2 linked regions of the Elephas maximus indicus genome follow. The protein of the gene in region 2 purifies or fractionates together with the protein of the main gene of each other region. This does not show direct contact. Links are inferred from orthologs where the notes say so. Each region holds a gene or a part of one and is shown on either strand. Other genes may lie near its edges.

Evidence for each region. The genes of interacting proteins can lie anywhere in the genome.
Region 1: the proteins of MAPK14 (region 2) and CCDC8 purify together in Homo sapiens (affinity purification with mass spectrometry; 3 studies listed by BioGRID and IntAct, counting the BioPlex papers as one, with this or other methods). This does not show direct contact. The link is inferred for Elephas maximus indicus from reciprocal best matches to the Homo sapiens genes MAPK14 and CCDC8.

What each region holds. Positions count from the first base shown.
Region 1 is NC_064829.1:103,273,650-103,284,559, reverse strand, and holds the start of CCDC8 (coiled-coil domain-containing protein 8), read right to left. Parts: upstream 4,318-10,910; 5' UTR 3,610-4,317; coding exon 2,134-3,609; 3' UTR 1-2,133. UniProt on the Homo sapiens protein: Core component of the 3M complex, a complex required to regulate microtubule dynamics and genome integrity. It is unclear how the 3M complex regulates microtubules, it could act by controlling the level of a microtubule stabilizer.
Region 2 is NC_064819.1:99,702,287-99,712,942, reverse strand, and holds the start of MAPK14 (mitogen-activated protein kinase 14), read right to left. Parts: upstream 4,122-10,656; 5' UTR 3,703-4,121; coding exon 3,587-3,702; intron 1-3,586. Other genes in the region: SLC26A8 (testis anion transporter 1), read left to right, coding at 4,941-5,175. UniProt on the Homo sapiens protein: Serine/threonine kinase which acts as an essential component of the MAP kinase signal transduction pathway.

The sequences.
Region 1 (10,910 bases), on a different chromosome or scaffold from region 2:
CTTGCTTGTGTGTCTGTATGTGCATGTAAGCACATGCTTGTGTTGGGTCATGCTTCTATGTTGTGTGCATGTGCGTGTGTGTTGCAGTGAGGAAGTGTGAGCTGGACCCTCGTAGGGCACTGTCCCAGGCTTGTCATGGGCAGCTGACGTTCGTGACATCCACGCAGCTTCATGCTAATCTGTCTTGCCCCCATTGTTTGGGGTCCACACTCCTCTCCCTCCCCAGGCCCCCATGAGTCATCCTGGGAAGGGCAGAGACGCTCAGTCAGCTGGCTTCTAGCAGACTTTATTGAACAAAAAAGGCACAGTATCATTCCTCATCAAGCCCTGCCTCTTCTCCCATCTCTCAGTCTCTCCCGTGGTCTCTGCTGCTCCCATCTCCTCTCACCTTCCAGGTCTGCAGAGACCAGGCCCCCTTGGTTCCACCGTTTTCCAAGGTGGGCACGGAGAAGGACAGCCTCCCCCTTCCTAACCTCCTCAGTGGCTTCAGAGCTATCTCCCCACCTGGCTTGGCTGCACCTGCGTCCTCCCCACCCCATGCCTCCGCTCAGTCCACCTCTCTAGGTGGGGCCCATGCCTCGCCCCTTCTTGCAAAGCCCACTGGCCTCTTTTGCTGCCTGGTTGCCAGCTGTGGGCCACACAGGCCCAGGGTCCACCACCAAGCACAAAGCAGCTCTAGACAGCAACACACCATGTCAGGCAGTGAGCCACATCATCAGTAGCCATTTCTTTTTAGAAAACAGACAGGGAAAAAGAAAAAGGGGGAAAAAACCCAACCAAACAGTTGCCGTTGAATTGACTCCAACTCCTGGCAACCCTATGTGTGCCAGGGCATTCAGTGGCTGATTTTGCGGAAGCAGACTCCCAGGCCTGTCTTCCGAGGCACCTCTGGGTGGGTTTGAATCGCCAACATTTTGGTTAGTAGTCGAGTGTTTAACCCTTTGCGCCACCCAGGGTCTCCTGGAAATAAAGAAAGGGATATAATTCTTTTAGGTATCAAGGGGGAAAAAAAATCCAGGCAAGGCCTGCAGCCACAATCAGGAGGGCAGAGCTGGCCTTCTGCTTCCCTCCTCCACCTTCTTTTCCCCAGTGAGGCTCTTTTGTGGCCATTTGCTCTTTTTCGCTGGTTGAGCAGGGTGGGCATAAGGTCATACAGAGATCCCTCCCAGCCTCACGGGGCCTCACCTCCCCAATTTCTCCCTGATGGTAAGTATCAGTCATAGCACATGACATCATACCCCCATTATCAACGTCAGCATGCCACCCCATGCCCCAATTTTGGGCCTGTTCTTATGGCAATGTCTCTTCCACACGGCCAGTGAATGGCAAGTGTGCGAGCTGCCCTGGGTAAAGCCCATAAGAGCTGGATCAAAATAGATTCCTGGGCCACACTAGCAAATTCATATCTGTGGTGTGAAGGGTTCAGGAATGTGCATTTTGAACACATTCCCCAGGTGATTTGTATGCACACTTATGGCCCCCAACCTCACAGCCAAGGACAGGTTGAAGGGCATAAACCATGGGCCCTGCACCCTTCAAACCAGCAGAGCCCAGGGGACCAAAGTAACCATGGTCATTACCATTGAGGATGGGAGTGGGGGGGACAGTGAGGGCACATGACCAAATAGCCCTCGAGCATTCTTCAGTTGTCAAGTCCAAAGCCAAAATCTAAGTTTTTTTTTTTTTAATGTTTTCACTTGCAGGTCAGCTTGAGCCCTCTTTTGAAGTTCAAAGAGACAGCAAATGTCAATCACCCAGCGAAAGGGGAGAAGCCATGAATTTTGCCCCGTCTCGCTCCCCTTTTTAAAATGAGCACCTAGGGAATTAAAAGTACCTGGCTGCAACCCCGCTGTATCGATTTTTCTCATTACATTCCTTGAGTTGCTATAAGGAGTGGGTATAAAAAAATTAATACACGAGAGAGAAAATTTTAACAGAAAAAGGAAGAAGGTTGTCAGGTGGAAATATGGAGGCGTTGTCTCGCCCCCTCTCTCTCTGTCCCTTGGATTTTCAGGTGCAGAAGCAGAGAGTGAAACCATCTCAGTCCAGGTCTGGGAGGGGTAAGGACATGCCCAAGTGGCTGATAATGCAGAATGTGGCAAGGGGTGCTCCACAGGGCCCCCGCCCTCGCCCTCACAGCTGGTCTTCTTGATCTCCCTGCTCCGCTTCTGCTCTGCCCTCGGCCCTCAGCATTCTGAGGCTCCTGGCCTCGCCTGCCCTGGGGACTCTCTTGGGGAGGGTTGGCAGCCTGGGTGTGTGCCAGAAGGCTCTCCGTGACTTGCGAAACCATGAAAAACGTCCAGGGGTCTGGAACCTCACTGTCTTGACCTGTTTCCGGGCTCTGGCTCCTGGGGTTGCCCCTGGGGCCCCCTGGATATCTGGGGCCTCCGCCGCCTGGTCAGCTGCAGCCTCTGCAACCTGGTCAGCTGCAACCTCTGCCACCTGGTCAGCTGCGGCCTCTGCCCTCTGGTCAGGTGCGACCTCTGCCCTCTGGTCAGCTGCAGCCTCTGCCACCTGGTCAGCTTCAACCTCTGCCCTCTGGTCACCCAGGACCCCTGCCCCCTGGTCACCTGGGACCTCTGCCCCCTGGTCACCTGGGACCTCTGCCCCCTGGTCACCTGGGACCTCTGCCCCCTGGCCAACTGGGATCTCTACCCTCTGGTCAGCTATGGCCTCTGCCACCTGGTCAGCTGGGACCTCTGCTCTCCGGTCAACTGGGACCTCTATCCTCTGGTCACCCAGCACCTCTGCCCCCTGAGCTATGGATGCTACCTCCTCCCTCCGGCGTCGCCTCAACGAACCCCAGCTGATCTTGGGCCGCCACCGTCGTGGGAGGGTCCCGGCTTGCCGCCCATCTCCTGTGTTTCCCGCGTTCTCCCCCCGGCTGGCGCAGCCTGGCCCTGACGCCCTGTCACTCTCCATCCTGGACACGGGCTGCTGGGTATCGCCCACGCCCGGCAAAGACCTGGGCGCCCAGCTCTTCACTCTGCGCTTCAGCTTCCCCCAGGACACCTGGCTGGCATACTCGCGCCACCTGTCGGCCTTGGAGAGCTGGGGCGGGTCGTCCTCGGCCACTGGCACGGGCAGCGCCACCCGGCGGCGGGCAGGGGCCGCGCTAGGTTTCTTCTCCCCGCGCCGCAGGAAGGCCTCCACCAGCTCCTCGTCGTCCCCGCTCTCCTGGTCGCTTCCCAGGAACTTGCTGCCCAGGTAACTGACCGGCATTTTTCGAACCCTCCGGGCCCGGCCCGAGCCGTGGCCGCCCTTGTCCCTGGAGGTCTCAAAGTCGCTGAATTCGCTGTCACTGGCGTTGCTGCTGTCATACGTGCCAACGACCAGACGGGGCGGAGGCGTCACCATCTGCTGAATTCTCCTCCGCACTCGGGGCTCCTTGGGCTTTTTGAGGGGCTGGGGCGGGTGCGGGGTGCTCTTCTCGATGATGCGGGCCACATCCTCCAGGGTGCGGCCCTCTTCCTCCAGGAACTGGGTCAGCCGCTCACGAAATTCCGCCTCCTTGGTGGCGGGCTTGGAGATGACCCTCCAGACACCGCCCGCCAGCCGGACCTCCCGGGGGATGAGCAGATAGTCGACATCCTCCCCAATCTGCAGCATCCCCACCGTAGAGTCTTCCTCCCTGCGGAATACCTTGCCGATCTTCTTAAAGGTCCCCACGGGCTTCAAGGCTTCCACGAGGACATCCAAGTCCACATCCTTGCAGACGTCGGGGACGCTCCATAGGATTAGGCAGTCCGGCGACGGCAGGAAGCCCCAGGGGAACCAGCCCCCCACGTGGCTTTTCTCGAGGGTCTTTAAGATCTCCAGGGTGAAATCCGGAATGTGGGGCTAAGGACCCCAACGTCACGCAGTCTGTAGCCTTAGGTGGGGAGTCCCAACAATGCTGCCCGGAAGGTCTCACCTCCCCAGCCAGGGACGAGCCACCTCCTCCCACTTTGTCTGCCACCAGGCCGGCCTTGGCCAAGTCTGCTCCCCCCAAAAAAGGCTGGTGGAAATGAAGTCCCACGACGCTTACGTGAGCTGGCGAGGAATCTGTCCCGAGGCTTCAAGCCCGCGCAAAGCTGGAAAGCTGCTCCAAGTTGGAGTGCACGGTGGTTCGTCTTGCCCCAGGCACCAAAGGGGCGGCTGGAACTTGCGAGACCGCTTCCCAGACAAAGACGGCTCAGCCGGGGCTATTCAATATGGCCGAGGCGCTGGGAGACTGCGGCCCGGCCCCCCCGGAGGGTCTCCCGCCCCCAGGCAGGCTGCCACCCCTCCAAGACTGACCTTGACGCGGCGCGCGCCCAGTGCGGTGGAGCGCACAGGCAGGAAGTTCCTCCTCGCGCTCCCCGGGGTGAGGCCCACCTTCTCCCTTCTCAGTTTACACTCCCCGACTCGGGAAGACTGACAGGGGGGCTGTCCACTCCCTTTAAGGAGGCCTCTCTCCCCTCCCCCACAGGGGTGTGGCCGCGCCCCAGGCCTAGTTGGGGCCACCCGCCTCCAAGTGAAAAGAGCGCGGAGGCCCACGTCAGCACCTTTCCCGAATGGCAGCCAGTTCCCAAACCTGCCATCGTAGATATACCCGTTCTGGCCAAGTCCCCCACCCTCAGCCCCCTAGGTGGGTGTGCTAATGGGACAGCCCTTTTGAAGGTCACTGACGCTATGTATTAACATTTTAAATGCACGCGACTCGTGGTACCAGCAATTCCTACCCCATACCCATTCATGCATGTGGGTAAAAAAACTGGTGGTTGTCGTTTAGCTGCCCTAGAATGGGCCAGATTCGTGGCGACCTCATTCACAAATGAAATGCTCCCTGGTCTGCACCATCCCCGTGATGGACTGCAGATCAGACTGCTGTGGTCCGCAGGGTTTTCGTTGGCTGATTTTCAGAAGAAGATGGACCGGCCTTTCTTCCTAGTCCGTTGTAGTCTGAATGCTTAAACCTGATCAGCATCATAGCGACATGCAAGTCTCCACTGACAGATGGGTGGTGGTGGTATTGCTGGTTATCATTGAGTCGGTTCTGACTCATGGCAAACCCATGTGTGCAGAGTAGAACTGTGCTCCATAGGATTTTCAAGGCTGTGGCCTTTTGGAAGCAGACCTCCAGGCTTGTCTTGCCTCTGGGTGGGTTTGAACCACCAACCTTTAGGTTAACAGTCCAGCACAAACCATTTGTGCCACCCAGGGACCATTTTTCCTATATACTATTGTTGTTAGGTGCCTTTGAGTTGGTTCCGACTCATATAGACTTTATATATAACGGAATGAAACCGTGCCAGGTTCTACTCCATCCTCACAATCATTGCTGTGTTTGAGACCTACATACTATATACAGTGAAACCTATGAGAGCTGAAACTTGACGAGACTGCCTTGTTTTTCTGTTTTGTTTTTTTTTTTATCTCTGGTTTTCCTTCTCTGACAGGTTTCCACCTTACCCAGGTGCCAGCTTTTACAAGTTTTACTTTACTATATACTAGGCACCATTTTGTGGGAGAAAGATGTGGCAGTCTGCTTGCATAAAGGTTTACAGCCTGGGAAACCCTATGAGGCAGTTCTACTCTGTCCTATAGGGTCACTGTGAGTCGGAATCGACTCGATGGCAGTGGGTTTGGTTTGGTTTTTTAGATCCCACTTTAAGTGCTTTCTGTGAATTAATTCATTAGATCCTCACTGTAACAACGAGACAGGTAATACAATTATCATTCCCATTTTACAGCTAAGGAAACTGAGGCCCAAAGAAGTAAAATCACCTTTTTGAGGTTACACAAACAGGAAGTGACTGAGGCTAGATTTGAACCCAAAACAGTCTGACTCTGTGTGTGTAGAACAAATAGTCGAGACATGCACTTGTGCTAGTCACAGGTATAAAACTAAAAAACCAAACCCATTGCCATCAAGTCGATTCTGACTCATAGGGACCCTATAAGACAGTAGAACTGCCCCCATAGGGTTTCGAACGAGGGGCTGGTGAATTTGAACTGCAGACCTTTTAGTTAGCAGCCGTAGCACTTAACCACTGCACCACCAGGGAGCACAGCCTAAAGTGGCTGTTACCGGGGAGAGGGCCTGGGAGCCCCTGAGGTGGGAGAGGCATGTACCCTTCACTCGACACCCTTTAGGATTGCTTGGATTTTTGGCAACCAAGAATATTAACTAAAAGAAATGAGATAAAAGTGAAGGTTCTCAGGCTTCACCACAGACATAGTGGGTCAGGATCCCTGGGGCTTAGGGTCAGAAAAAGGCTACCGGCTCAGCAACAAAAGCCCAACAACATCATTAGGAAGATAATAACAGTTAACTTGCATTGGCATTGAGCATTTCCCTGGGTCCAGGCATCATGAATGGGCTGAATGGACCTATTGTGAATCCTTAGAGCTACACAGCAAGGTGGGTGCCCTCACTAGCATCTTCTGGTTGATGGGGAAACTAACTGGAGGGCCTGATATTTGAACCAGATCTTAGGTACTTGAGTAATAGACCCAGGCAGGCTCTATAGAAAACAGGGGTCAGGAGTCAGGACATAGCTGAATCCCTCCTCCCCAATTAAAGTGCTGGGTGGTTTAACCCAAGAGTCACCGCATGTTAAAAAAAAAAAAGCATGTTAGCTACCCTTTTTTCTTGTTGAATCCCTGCAAGTGCCTCCTCACTGCCTCCCAGCTTTCTCCTTGCTGCCTACAATCCACCCTCAATTCAGCAGTGTTGTTGTTGCTAGTCGCCAACTAGTTGATTTCAACTCATGGCTACGCCATGTGTGCAGGATAGAACTAACTGCTCCATAGGGTTTTCAAGGCTGTGACCTTTCGGAAGATCACCCAGCCTGTCCCCTGAGGGGTGACAGGGTGGTTTCAAACCGCCAACTTTTTTGGCTAGTAGTTGAGTGTTTAACTGTTTGCGCCACTCAGGGACTCTCCAGCAGCTGGTTGTTGTTAGGTGCCATGGAGTCGTTCCGAATCATAGCGACCCTACGTACAACAGAATGAAACACTGCCCAGTCCTGCACCATCCTCACAATTGTTGCTATGTTTGAGCCCGTTGTTGTAGCCACTGCATCAATCTGTCCCCTCGAGGGTCTTTGTCTTTTTCACTGACCCTCTACCAAGCATGATGTTCCTCTCCAGGGACTCGTGCCTCCTGATAACATGTCCAAAGTACGTGAGATGAAGTCTTGCCATCCTTGCTTCTAAGAAGCATTCTGGCTGTACTTCTTCCGAGACAGGTTTGTTCATTCTTCTGGCAACCAACCAACCCAACCCATTGCCGCTAAGTCGAATCCGACTCACAGTGACCCTATAGGACAGAGTAGAACTCCCCCGTAGGATTTCCAAGGAGCTCCTGGTGGATTGGAACTGCCAACCTCATGGTTAATTCTTCTGGCCAGACCCAGTGCCATGGAGTCAATTCCGACTCATAGCGACCCTATAGGACAGGGTAGAACTGCCCCATAGAGTTTCCAAGGAGCGCCTGGTGGATTCGAACTGCCGACCCTTTGGTTAGCAGCTGTAGCTCTTAAGCACTACGCCACCAGGGTTTCCTATTCTGGCAGTCCATGGTATATTCAATATTCTTCATCAACACCGTAATTGGAAGGTGTCAATTCTTTGGTCTTCCTTATGCATTGCCCAGCTTTCGCATGCGTATGAAGTGACTGAAAATACCGTGGCTTAGGTCAGGCACCTTGGTGGCATAGTGGTTAAAGTGATCAACTGCTAAGTGAAAGGCCAGCAGTTTCAAACCACCAGAGGTTCCAAGGGAGAAAGATGTGGCAGTCTGCTTCCATAGAGATTTACAGCCTTGGAAAACCTATGGGGTTGTTATGAGTCAGAATCGACTCGATGGCAGTGGGTTTGGTTTTTTGGTGGGTCAGGTGCACCTTAGAGCAATACGTGGTTTGATTTCTTGACTGCTGTTTCCATAGGCATTGATTGTGGAGCCGGGTAAAATGAAATCCTTGCCAACTTCAATATTTTCTCCATTTGTCTGCAGCTGGAGGGATCTTTCAAAAAATAACTCGGCACTGTCTCTATCTTTTTAAAATCCTCCATTTCACTCAGAATAGAACCCAAGTCCTCACCATGGCCCACAAAGCCCTACAAATCCCTCACACTCCTTCCTTCTCTGTCCTCCTCTCCTCCCCTCTTCCCCTCTCTCACTCCATTCCAGCCCAACCAGTCTGTTCCTGCTGCAGGGCCTTGGTACTTGCTGTCCCCTGACCTTCTCTTGTCAACCTCTCTCTCCTTATTCAGGCCTCTGCTCAAAGGTCACCTCTCTGAGAGGCCCTTCTGAATCCTTCCCATTTTACAGGAGTGACCCTCCCATCCCAGGAATTCTTAACCTTCTCAGTGCCACGGACCCATTGAAGCACAGACTGTTCCCTACAGTTATGAAAATATTCAAGAAATAACAAATTCATGAAATGGTGCTTGTTATTACCACATCACATAAAGATTTAGCAGCAAGTCTAGGTTTTGAGGAAGTGCTTCGAGGTTTCGCAGCAACTAAAAGAGCCACACGAAGACAGCTGTGATTTCCAGCAGTGACAAAGTTGCAGGCTCTTCTAACCCTACTGGGGCTCGTTGCTTATGTTCATAATGGAAGGCAATGGTCTGTCTCAAAGGTCTGTGAATATAAAGCCGTGATTTTATTTTTCCCATTCAGATTCACAGACCCAAGAGGTCCAGGCACTCCAAGTGAAGACCCCCTCCTACATCCTATTCTCCTACTTTATTTCCTAGCACAACACAGTCAGAAATGATTTTCTTTATTTTTGCTTTACTTTTGTGTCTGACTCTCTCCCACCACACGCTAGAATGCAAACTCATTTGTTCTCTACTGTATGTATCTCCAGTACCTAGAACAGGGCTTGGCCTGTAGCAACCCAGCTACCACTGAGTTGATTCCTGGAGACCCCGTGTGCGTCAGAGTAGAACTGTGCTCCATAGGCTTCCCAATGGCTGATTTTTCAAGAGTACATTGCCAGGCCTTTCTTCTGAGGTGTCTCTGCGTGGATTGGAGCCTCTGACACTTCAGTTAGCAGCCAAGTGCTGAACTCCTTGCACCACCCAGGAGCTCTGGGTATATAGTACCAAAACAAACAAACAAAAAAACCCCAAACCCAGTGCCCTCGAGTTGATTCCGACTCATAGCGGATGTGTATGTAGTAAAAAAAAAAAAAAAACCCAAAATTCGTTGCCATAGGGTTTCCAAGGAACGGCTGGTGGAGTCAAACTAATGACGTTTTGACTAGCAGCTGAGCTCTTAACCACTGGGCTACCAGGGGTACGTAGTAGGTGCGCAATTAAAAAATTGCTAGATGAGAGAAGGAAGGAAGGAAGGAAGGAATGCAGGGAGGAAGGAAAGGAGGGGAAAGAAAGGAAAAGAAGAACGGAGGAAGAGGGTAGGGAGGGAAGGAAGGGAGGAAGGAAAGAAAGAATTTGAGAGAAAGAGGGAAGTGAGGGAGGGAGGGAAGAAACAAAGAAGCTTGGGGTGGGAGGCGGTTAAGGTCTCATCGAAGCCTTTGCACAATCATTGGCTCGTTCGGGTTGTTTTTGCTTTTTTGCCCAGCCGGCTGTACCGGGTCATGAAGTTTCACTGGGTTTTCTCCTCCTCGCTCAGCTCCGCGGGGGCCCGGGCCCCCAGGCCTTTGGCTCCGGTAGCTTCCACGCCTCCGCAGCTGGGCGGTCTCCATGGCAACGTGGGGACGCGCCTTGTTGCCCAGCAGGCTCTGAGTGGGCGGGGCAGAGGCACAGGGTGGAGGGAGAAAGGGGGGTGCGTTCCGCGGAGTGTGGGAGCAGGGCAGTACCTCTTCACGGATCCCCCCCAAACCAGCTTCGCTGAAAGGCTGCCTTGCAGAAATGAGTCCTTTGGGTTTTCTAACGGGTAAGAGATTAAAAGGAGCCCTGGTGACGCAGTGGTTAAGCATTTGGCTGCTAACCAAGAGGTCGGCAGTTAGAATCCACCAAGCGTTCCTTGGAAACCCAATGGGGCAGTTCTAGTCTGTCCTGTGGGGTCGCTGAGTCAGAATGAACTGGAGGGCAATGCGTTAAGAGACTTAAAAAAAATTTTTTTTTTTTTTTTTGGTGGGGAGCGGGGAGGATTATCATAGAGATGAAAACCCCAAATGTTCACAGTTCTTATAAAAATTGCCAGCCCTCAAGCAGTTCTGGTGTGGGCGTTTTAAATTGCCCTGATTTCTGGTGGCTAGACCCTTTCCAGCCTCTCCAGAAACAGCGATAATTATAGCTCCTGTTTTTGTATTTGTTTAAAAGAAAATTAAAAACCAGGCTTAAAAAATAATATCACCCATAAGTACTGTGCTTCATTAAAAATTCACCTATATGAGATCAATGGCCAACAATTACTATGAAACACAGATGAGAAGGTACGGGGGCAGGGACACTAGATTAATGGAAACAGGACAATCAGAAAGGAAATAATGAGAATGTTCAAGCCTTGTGAAGAATGTAATCAATGTCACTGAACAACTTGTGTAGAAATTGTTGAATGGGAACCTAAACCGCAGGGTAAACCTTCACTGAAAACAAAATAAAATATTAAGAAAAAGAAAAACAAAAAAGATCAGGAAAGAATGGAGAAGAAAGCAAAACATGACCCATAATCCCTTTACCCAGCCACACTTGGTTGCCATTAAAATAATCATCATAAAAGTGACACACATGTTAAGAAAATACAAAAGGTGTAAAATGACCAAAACCAAACCAAACCTGTTGCCGTCAAGTCGATTCCAAATCAGTGACCTTATAGGACAGAGTAGAATTGCCCCATAGGGTTTCCAAGGAGCGGCTAGTGGATTGGGACTGCTGACCTTTCGGTTAGCAGACAGACAGGTGTAAAATGTGAGACAAGCTCCCGCCGCCCCCACAGCCTCCAGTGTCTCTCATGTAATTATAGTTAA
Region 2 (10,656 bases):
CGTCTTGTGCTGTGTTGTTCAGCACTCTATCTCAAGGACCTAGCCTGCTAACTAGACCACATTTGGTGCTCAATAAATACTGTTGAATAAACAATCAGATATGATCTCAGAGTAGTTCTCAATCCTCATCACACTGTTTTACGGTTACCAGTGCCCCCACCTCCCTTAATCAACAGCAAGGGACTGGAAAAACCGTACCCCAGAGGAAAGGCATTTAAGTTCCTGTTTATATTTCCTTAAACTCACCACAAAGATTCTCCCCTTCAGTCCCAAAACCACAAAATCAATGCTTTGCAACAACGTATTCTTAAACAATTTTGCTTCATTTCCCCTCACAGACAATGCACAAAGTTCCTTAAAACTGCAAAGCTTAGTTTAGTTCCCTTTCATCTTTAACAAGGAAAGACAATTTGTCAAACCCTATCAAGTTTTTGAAGCCTGATTCCTTAATCTTTGATTCATTTTCGGCTACCACACAGGCTGCTATTTGCATTACATTCTACAAATGAAAATAATGAAAACACACTTAAAAGAGGAAAAAATTTACACATCAAAGTGAACACACTTCTTCAGAGTAATCAAATTAGGAAACTGAATACATTTTTCAATGATGCTGCATTCCTTTAAATACTTGTAGAGATTCTTTTTGGGAATAAGACTTCAGGTTCAGTCCTACAAGCCACACTAGAAATTGTCATTACTTTATCATTGTGATTCCTTTTTGACCTAAAATCACCAACCTGACTTTCCTAATCCTTTTCACCAGACCTGGATCTAAATTTATGAATCGTTTGGATTCAATTTCACTTTTAGCTATTCTCTAGTCAAATCTGCTCTCAAAGAATGAAGATGAAAAAAGTTACACAAGCACCAAAGTAAGTTCTAAGAAACACATTTTCTGTCCCACCTGAGGAAATCTTGGTAGCACAGTGGTTAAGTGCTATGGCTGCTGACCAAAGGGTCAGCAGTTCAAATCCACCAGATGCTCCTTGGAAACTCTATAGGGCAGTTCTGCTCTGTCCTATAGGGTCTCTACGAGTCGGAATTGACTCAACAGCAATGGATTATTTTTTCGGGTCACACCTGAAAAGTTGATAATTGAAAGAACAACTTCAAATAGCTACTCTGAGATGATACTTATTTGCAAATCTAAGTTCTGGTATTTTCATTACACAAGCAGTGATACTTGTTTTATAGTCAATTTTTATGCAATTTCACTTGTATTTTCTTCCACCAAAACTCTATAGGTTGCATCTTCTCTCTCTCACACACACACCTTCCAGTAGACTCCGACACACGGCAATCCCACGCACGTCAGAGTAGAACTGTACTCCACAGGGTTTAAATGGCTGACTTTCTCCTACGTAGGTCACCCGGCCTTTCTTCCAACGCACCTCTGAGTAGACTCGAACTTCCAGCTTTTCAGTTAGCAGCCAAGTACATTACCCATTTTTACCACCGAGGGATTCCATCTGTATCTTAAATCCGCCTAGAAATATTTACTAGAAATGCTACTTTAAAAAAAGACAAAGAAAAAAAACCTCTGCCTTCCTGAAAAGACACACAAGAAACTTAACAGTGGTTGTTTCCGCAGAAGGGAAGAGGGCAGCTGGGGAACAAAAAAGAAAGGGAGGGAGACTTTTCACTGAATACTCTTTTATATATTTTGAATTTTATAAAATATGAATGTATTACCTATTTTTAAAAATCTATTCAACAAAATTACTTCCAAATGTCAGATACTGCTGGCTTCTATAAGCCAGAAGAGTACTAAAGAAATATGAAGTTCATTTTAGCGACACTTTATTAGAAATCTGATGTGTGGTCTAGTGCTGAGCTATTCATACTTACAGGGAAACCCTGCGAGCAAATTTTTTCAAGTTCACCTAAATTCCCTGTAGCTGAGTTATTTTGCTGTATCACTCCATTAAAGTTTAAACGGAAACACTGGAAACAAAAACCTGATATTGCAAAAATAAATATGTCAATTCAAAAATGAAGGTAAATTAATGAACTGTAAAAGCTGCAATGACTCAAATACATCTTTGAAAAGTTGTAAATCAAGAAATATATATAGTGAATGTAAAAAGCTGCAAATTCCTTTAAAATGAGAGAAAGATGTCAAGCATGGTGCCATCTGCGACATAACGCAAGCAGCTTTAACTAGAAAATGCAATATGATCTGTTGCAGGGCACAATTGCACAATCTTAATTACCCGAAAAGTCTACCAAACAGGAAATTCATGATGTGACTTTAAGGAACACAGGAATTACACTTAAAGATTAACACATTCAAAAAACTGGAATATATTCCTAAGCAAAAACTTATTTTACAGACCCCTTTTCAAATGATGCATGTACACGAAATTACTAAAACCCAGAAACAGTTAATAATTAAGTCTGATATTTAGTTTCAGATCGGGGCGCCCAGATTACAGTACATCTAAAATACAGTACATAAAACTTTGGAAACAAGAGAGAAGTTAGTGAAACATTTCAAGTCCGGAAACTTTATTGTACCCGTTTAATTTAAAACACTTGCGGTGTAAAAAGGCGTCTCTTCCTTCTTTTGCTACATGCTATGAAAACTGTCGTGTACCTCAGGTCACAAATGCAGATAAGTTTCCTGCAAAATCTCTATAAGGGGCTTTAAAAACACAGTATTTGTAGGAACTGTCGCAATTTAAAACTATTTACAGTCCTTCCCAGCACGGTTAACTTTTTGATCTTGAGAGCGTCCAACGGTCCTGAATATCCTTTGCTCCAAATGAGAAAATTGTTTTGTCAAACAATACTTAAATGAGCAGAGGAATGTGACTAATCAGTGAGACGACCGGTTTCTTAAACAGCAGGGTTCTCGCAGGCACTATCGCCGCCACCGCCACCGCCACCACCTCCCCCACCCCCCCGCGAAAAGGAAATACGCTTTCAACCGAATCGGAAACACACCACTCAAACTGGCACGGTGTTCACCGAGATAAAGTCAGTATTTTAAGCTCTATAGGTCGCTGCTAATTCAAAAGGAACCCTTCTCAAAACGGAATTTCAACGCAGCTTTGCAAAAAAAGCCCGGGGAGAGCGCCCTTCCTCGTTGTTCAGATGATCACAGTCTCCCAGTTGGGCTCTGCCTTCTCCCGGCAGCTCCTGGGCTTGTCCGCACAGAGGGCCAGCTCCAGCGCCCCAGGGTGGGCGCACCCCCGGAGGGGGCCCTTCTGTTCGACGCCAGCAGGGACACCCCCTCCCCCCGCAAGCAGAAGGCACCCTCGTCCCTGTCCCCGGAGCAGCAGCCTTCTGAGAAGCCTTCCCTGTCCCTCGCGCAGGGCGCGAGCCAGGGCCGAATTCCAGCACCCCCACCCCCACCCCCACCCAGCCCAGCATGGAACTGCGTCCTGCACACGGCTGACCACCTAGTTGCTGTGCAGATGGGGGTGCCAGGGGTGCAAGACAGAGCTCGAAGGGGCAGCGATGCCGTTCCTCGAGAAAAATTCCTGCCACTTGGCGCATCGCTGAGCCGTGGGGGCAGGCCTGGCCCTTGGGCGTGAGGGGCCACCCCGTCCACCTTAGCCTCAGGCCCTGCGACACTCACCATACCGAGCCATAGGCACCGGAGCCCACCGGGGACAGGTTCTGATAGCGCTCAGGCACCTCCCAGATTGTCTTGTTCAGCTCCTGCCGGTAGAACGTGGGCCTCTCCTGAGACATCTTCCAGCGGCGGCCGCAGGGTGAGGAGGTGGCCCTGCGGGGCCCCTGCCTGCGCCTGCACCCGCTCCCGGACTCTCGCTCCCTGCCGGGCAGGGCCGGGACCCTGCGCTGGTCGCCGGCGCAGGTGCGGCTGCCGCGGCCCCTCGGACTCCCGCGCGCGCGCGCGGCCCCTGTCAGCTGCAGCACCTAGATGCGCCTTAGTGACGGGGACGACCCCGGCTCAGGACAGGGGCGCGCTACCCGGCTCGGGGCTGCGCCCGCCGCGACCCCCCTGCACACTCGCCCAGACCAGGCCGTCTCTGGGCTGCGTCGCCGGACTCCAGCTGCAGCGCCCACGGAGACTCCAGCGGTCGCGGATCCAGAGCCAGTGAGCAGGAGCCTCCCTCTGTACTCTCGCGAGAACAGGTCCCGGGACTCTCCGCGAGCCGAGAGTCACCCAATATGGAACCTGCTCGCGGGAGGGGTTTCGTGATGTGAGAGTACGGGAGGAGGAGCAGTTCTCGCGACAAGAGAGCAACAGCTGGAGGCCAGAAGCAGGAACTTCCAAGGACTGATGTCCTTAAGGGCGCGTAGGCAGACTCGCCAAGGAAGAGACTAGCGGGCAACACATGCCTCGTGCGCCCCACCGTGGTGGGCTGGGGCAACGCCTGGCTCTGGTGCTAGAAAGCGACGATGACAAATGGGGCATCGGGAAAAGGGCCCAAGATCTTTGAACTCAGTATAGGCACCGGCAGCCAAACACCTGCTCAGGGAAATTCTCAATTTCCAAGAAATAACTTGCATATAAAAAGAAAAAGGTTCCAGCCAGAAAGCCGCTGCCTTCCCATCTGCTCAGGGACATACGGCTTCTTCTTAGGGATTCTGACGAAGTCTGTCACAAAAGCAAATATTAGCCCTAAAGTGAGATTTTTTCCAGCCAAGCTCTCCTAGTAATTCTCAAACTTTTATGTACAGAAGAATCAACCTGGGAGTTTGTTTTAAAACACAGCTTCCCAGGGCGCGCTGCAGTCTAATTAGATAAGTCCGAGATGGGCACTGCATTTTTAGCATAGATGCCAGGCGGTTCTGATTTAGGGAAATCTTGGCTATCTCCCTTCGAGAGGTTTCCTTACGTCTCTCTTCTGACCTAACCGGTAACCGGAAGACTTGTGAATTGATGCGCAGTGCAGATCACGAGCCCTGGCACCAAGTAGGCCTGCAATCAAAAGTGTAAAACCTCGAAGCCAGTGGGGGCCTGGATGGCACAGGTAAGGAGTTCCCTTGGGCTCCGGACGCGCGGCCCAGCTATCCCGGTCCCCGCTCCCCTACCCCTGCTGCCTATGCCCCCTGCCCGCTCCGAACGCCCGCAAGCTCGGGCGCAACGGCTCGGGAACCGCCGGCGTCTGCGCCCGCATTCGCGTCCCAGCGCTGCCAGCCGGGCCAGAGCCGCGTCCGACCCCACCGTCGTCATTCCCGCCTTCGCCCGGGAACCAGGTGAGCCGCTGCGGGAGTCGCCCAGGAGCCAGGGGCTGTAGGTGGAGAGCGGTGAGGCCGCGGCGGGTCCCCGGCGTGGGAGCCTGGGTGCGAGGGACCGGCCTTTCATTACACATCGAAGTCGCAGGCAGGGGGCTGCTCCTGTCCCCAGCAGGGCTAGGCACATAGCGGGCGCTCAGTCAATATTTGAGGGATGAATGAATGGGGATCCCCTGGGAGCTCAGAGGTCTTGTCTGTGCTTTGAAAGGCCGCGTGGAATGGCTATAACAACAGACAGCGTGTGCATTTTTGCAAGCTGCCTCCTTTCAAAGTCGCTTGCCGGGATTATCAGAAACCCTCGAAGTGGCCCACTGCCCCAGTCTCAGCCGCCACCGCATCCATCTCCTCCTGAGGCTTGACTGCCCAAAACTTACAGCTTTTGTTCATTTTGTTCCTTCTGCCTGAGCCTCCTCCCTCACCTGTCCCTTTCTCTTCCTGTCAAATTCTGTTTATCCTCCAGGATCCTGTGACGTTTCTACAACATCCCACCCCAATAATAAGTGTCTCTCCTCCACACTCCACTGGTTTTGCCCTTAACTACATTGCAGTACAGATAGCTGCAGGTAGTGTCTGATGGTTAAGCTCCTTGAGGGCTGCATCTTTGTCTAAGTCATTTTTATATCTCTGTCACTAGACAGTTATTGAAGAGTGCTAAAAAGATGCCTTTTCTATATCTGAAATTCATTTCCCATTAAAACCTAGGTAGTAACTGGCAAAGGGCTGTTTTAACAAATGCTTATTTTGAAATTTTGGAAGTGAATTTTGCCTTCACATAATTTTAGAGAATATATGAAAGATGACAATAGTGGGGAAAGATATTCTGGCAACTAAACTTAAGTTTCAAGATTTCAATTCTATTGGGTCAATGGTCAGAAAGTCGCACTGTATTTAAACTTTTTATTCTTAATTTTTTAAATAGTCTGAACATAGATTATGTAAATGAATAAATGGATGGATGGATGGATGGATGGATGGATGGGGCAAGTATGGAAGGTGAAGGAGCTGAGTCAAAATGCATGTGTTTTGACAATGCCCCCAAACTTAACACTGGAAGACTAAAGAAGTTGGCTACATTTACAGTGGTCCTCATACTTTACTGTGTATCGGAATCACCTGGAGGGATTCTTAAAGCAGAGTGTTAGGCCTGCCCCCAGAGTTTCTAATTCAGTATGTCTAGGTAGGGCCTGGTGGTGTAAGAGCTACCGCTGCTAACCAAAAGGTCAGCAGTTCGAATCTACCAGCTGCTCCTTGGAAATCCTGTGGGGCAGTTCTACTCTGTCCTGTAGGGGCGCGATGAGTTGGAATCGACTCAATGGCAACTGTTTTGGTTTTTTGTTGTTGTTGTTTAGGTGGGGCCTGAGAATTTGCAGTTCTAATAAGTTCCTAGGCAATGCTGATGCTACTTGTCTGGGGATCAGGTATGGGGTACAGAGATTAAATTAATGTCTCCCTTGTAGTAATCCAAACCAAAAAAGCAAACCCGGTGCCATCGAGTAATCCAGGTACTCAAAATTATGTTACATTTGTAGAGTAAGAAAACGAAAACTTACGTGGTTCAAACACATTGTCTACCAAACTTAAATATTTGCTCTGATGGAAGGAAGCATCAAGGAGTTGTCTTCAAAGTGGACATTTATCTTCAAGGTTATGGGTAAAGGTTAGCATGGTGTTGATTACACTGAGTGCAGTAGCCCCATCAGACTGACACTGTCAAGAGCTGGAAACAGACACTGTCCCTTTTGTGTCTTAGCTGCAAGGTCATCATCCCATCAGTGTAGTTTTGATGATCTTTTCTGAAATTCATCACCTTTTCCACACTAAAGTGCATCTGGCACTTATCAGTAGGAGCTTCTCGTCACACACCTTGTCAGGAAGGGTCCTGCTAAAGCATGAAAACAAGCCATTAGGGGTTCTATGAAATCGAGAGGGAAATAATGGAGCTGGAAAATTCCAGAGAAGACTGCTAAAACAAATAAATAAGGAAATCATGTGCCTTCCTTTAGGCAGCCATTTGATGAGTCCTTTAAAGCCAGCATCAAAGATAGCTTTCCACTTGCCACTCCTCACCATCCTCACTGTGGCCACCAAAGCTTATAATTCAAATACCTCTGCCCTAGACTATTCTAATATCGATTGTTTCTAACCAGTCTCTTGTCGCTAGCACTGTCCAATAGAACTTTCTATGATGATGGAAATGTTTTACATTTGTGCTGTTCGGTAAGGTAGCCACTGGCCACATGTGGCTGTTGAGCCCTTGAAATGTGGCTAGTGCAACTAAGGAACTGATTTTTTATTTTAGCTTAATTAAGTTAAATTTAAATAGCTGCATGTGGCCAGTGGCTACTGTACCGGACAGTACAGCTGTCAATCATACCACCGACAAGATTCCTTTTCCCAAAGTGCATCTCTGTGCATATTACTCTTTCTGCTCAAACAGTTTACATAGCTAAAAAATAAAGACCAGCTTTTTTTACAACTCAGCATTTAAGACCTTCCAGGAATAGGCCTCATTCTACATTTGGGGGGCTTAACACTAATTTTAGGAGCTCCTGGGTGGCACAAACAGTTCAAACCCACCCTGAGGTACCTTAGAAGACAGGCCTAGCATTCTGTTTCCCAAGGGTCACAGCCTTGAAAACTCTCCTCTGCACACATGGGGTTTCCATGAGTCGGCACTGAAGAATGCTATATCCCACTCATTATATAATAAGCCCCACTTATTTTATACCTCCCATGTCTCTTCACGGTGCCAGACTAGGGTCAAACTCAGCAGCATCTTCTTTCCCTGCTGATTCCGCCAAGCCTGTTCCCTTGGCTGTGGTTTTGCTGGATAGTAGGTAGGGACAGTGGGAATCTCTTTCATCCATTCATGCACATCACTAATTAGATGATGAGGCATTTGGCTACCTTCGTTACATGAGTCTGCTCGACAGCAACTAACGACATGAACTTTACGAAGATCTCTTGAATTACTTGCCTTACGTTATCTTTGTACTTCCCTACTACTGTTTCCCTGAAACAGCTTATGTTCCACCCCGCCCCCAGCTTACACTGAGCTCAAATCATGTCTCCTCCAGAAGGCCTTCTCCATCTCTCTAGGCCAGGACTATTAATCTCAATTTTGGAGGAGGTCCCATGGTGGAAGGATGGGGCATCTATTTTGGAATCAGACCAGGTTCAAATTCTGGCTCTGCTATTTAAGTATTGTATGACTCTGAGAAAGTTACTAAACTCATCAGTAAAATGAGTATAGTCACTTTCAGGAGAATAATATCAAGCTCTTTAAGATGATGTACATGAAGAACGTAGTATATGGCCGAGTGGTCATAAATGTTAATTCCTCTCTTCCCCACCTCTAAACTCTTACAGCACTATATTTTGGTACTTTTCTTCTACTGAATTGTAGAATAATTTGTTCTTTTGTATCCCAAGAGCACCTAGCATTCAACAAATGTGTGTTGAGCACTAAATTAACTGACCACAGGTAAAATAGCATTCTTCAGTCTGAAACAAATGAAGGCCAAGAGTGAATATGATGGAAATGTATAAAAAAAATTGTAAAAATAAAAGCAGATCAACTTTGTTTAGGAAGCATTGAGTTTCTGTTTATGGTGATAGAAATTTGGCAATGGATATTGGTGATGGTTGCACAGCATGATTAATGTAATTGATGTCACTAAATTGTACACGTGAAAAACATCTAGTTGGCAAGCGTGTATTATATACTTACAACAATAAAATAAAAAGATATGAATGCTAGTCTAGTAGAGATGGAGGCCACCTCTTGAGACATAAACAATATAAAATAAGGGTAATAAATGAAATACTAATTGCCATCAGTGAACTAATGCAGTATTATAAAATACCTCCAAAGGGTACGGCGGTAGAAAATGTGAATACTGCAGCTTCAAGAGAAAGAGACAATATGGACAAACCAAAATGAAAAACCAAACCCATTGCTAACTCAAAGCCAATGGATTTGGGTTTTGTTTTTGTTTGGTTTCCCAACTCATCGTGACCCTATAGGACAGGGTAGAACTGCCCTATAGGATTTCTAAGGCTGGAGCTTTAAGGAAGCCAGCTGTCACGTCTTTCTCCGGAAGGTGCGGCACACTTTTCGGTTAGTGGCAGGGTGCTTTAACAGCATCACCAGGGCTCCTGATGGACAAGAAGACCCTCATTATCTCCTCAGTTTCTCATTCATCACTGTACCATTCTGTTGGCTTCAAACCAAAGTAACAAATGAAATCGTTAATTAGGACTTCCCTCCCACAAGGCTTTAACCCTTTCATAACCAAATTATTTTTCACTTTAAATTTTTCATTGATAAAATTCTTTTCATTAATGGAATGCATGCTGAATCATTGAGCATGTCCCTGTGGAGTCTGGTGTAGGATTGGTGGGACACGTATGTCTGTACCATCCAGGATGTACCACCTCACACAACACCCTGTAAAAACTAATTTGTGGCACATGCCCGTTTCTTCTGTTTCAAGTCCCCTCTTGACGGCTGCACTGTCAGTGGAAAACCTTCTTCCCAGTAAACCCAAGGGCTACTAAATGTATGTGGGAGCTTTTTGTCCCTCAAGTCCTTAACAGCAAAGCCCGAAGGAAGCAATTTCCTGCCAGAAGCGGCTTCCAAATCCCACAAGGCTGAGGGCACAAAGGCAGCCTAGTAACATGCTTAGTTACAGCCTCCACTTTCTAGGCGTGAGTGCCCAGACGTCCTCCAAATCCCACAGTCCTCTTCTCACGTATTTCTGGTTTGTCTAGTTCAGGTGTTTCCGTTAGTTGTGCAGTTGCCTCCTGTGGACCTAGGTGGGAAAGGAATTTTTTTCTGTTCGTTGAGCTGTTGGCGTTCACTGTTTGGAGTCAGTCAGGCCTTAAGGAGTCACTGCCACTGCCATCGACATGTTGGTCCCAAGTGCACTCGTGAAACAATCGTCTCTTCAGTCTATGGCTGGTGCTGTTCCGGTTCGCAATGAGAAAGGTTGAGATCTCAATGGAATAAGTGAAGGTGAAATGCGGTATGTCGGCCAAGAGGCCAGACTGTGTCCCTATGGGGTCCTAAGGTGAGGAAGATGAAGAATTTCAGCTCATTAAGAAAGCCAATGATCAAGAAGCAGAGCCTGAGGAACAGAGGGAGGATTCATCTAGTTATCCCCATCTGCGGTGTTTGCAGAACCCTATTAGTGAAGATGTGGAAGAGAGATTGGCTTGACATTGGAACGAGAAGATAGCAGTGAAGAAGAGGAGGATGCTGATGAGGAAACGAAACAGCACCATGGGATGATGGGCCAGCGAGCACAGGAGAGATAAAATGAAGAGATGGAAGTCATGGGAGTGGAGGATGAGGGACATTCTGAGGAGGAGTCAGAATCGGAGTCTGAGTATAAAGAGTACTCAGACAGTGAAGATGAGATGAAGCCTTGTCACCTTAAG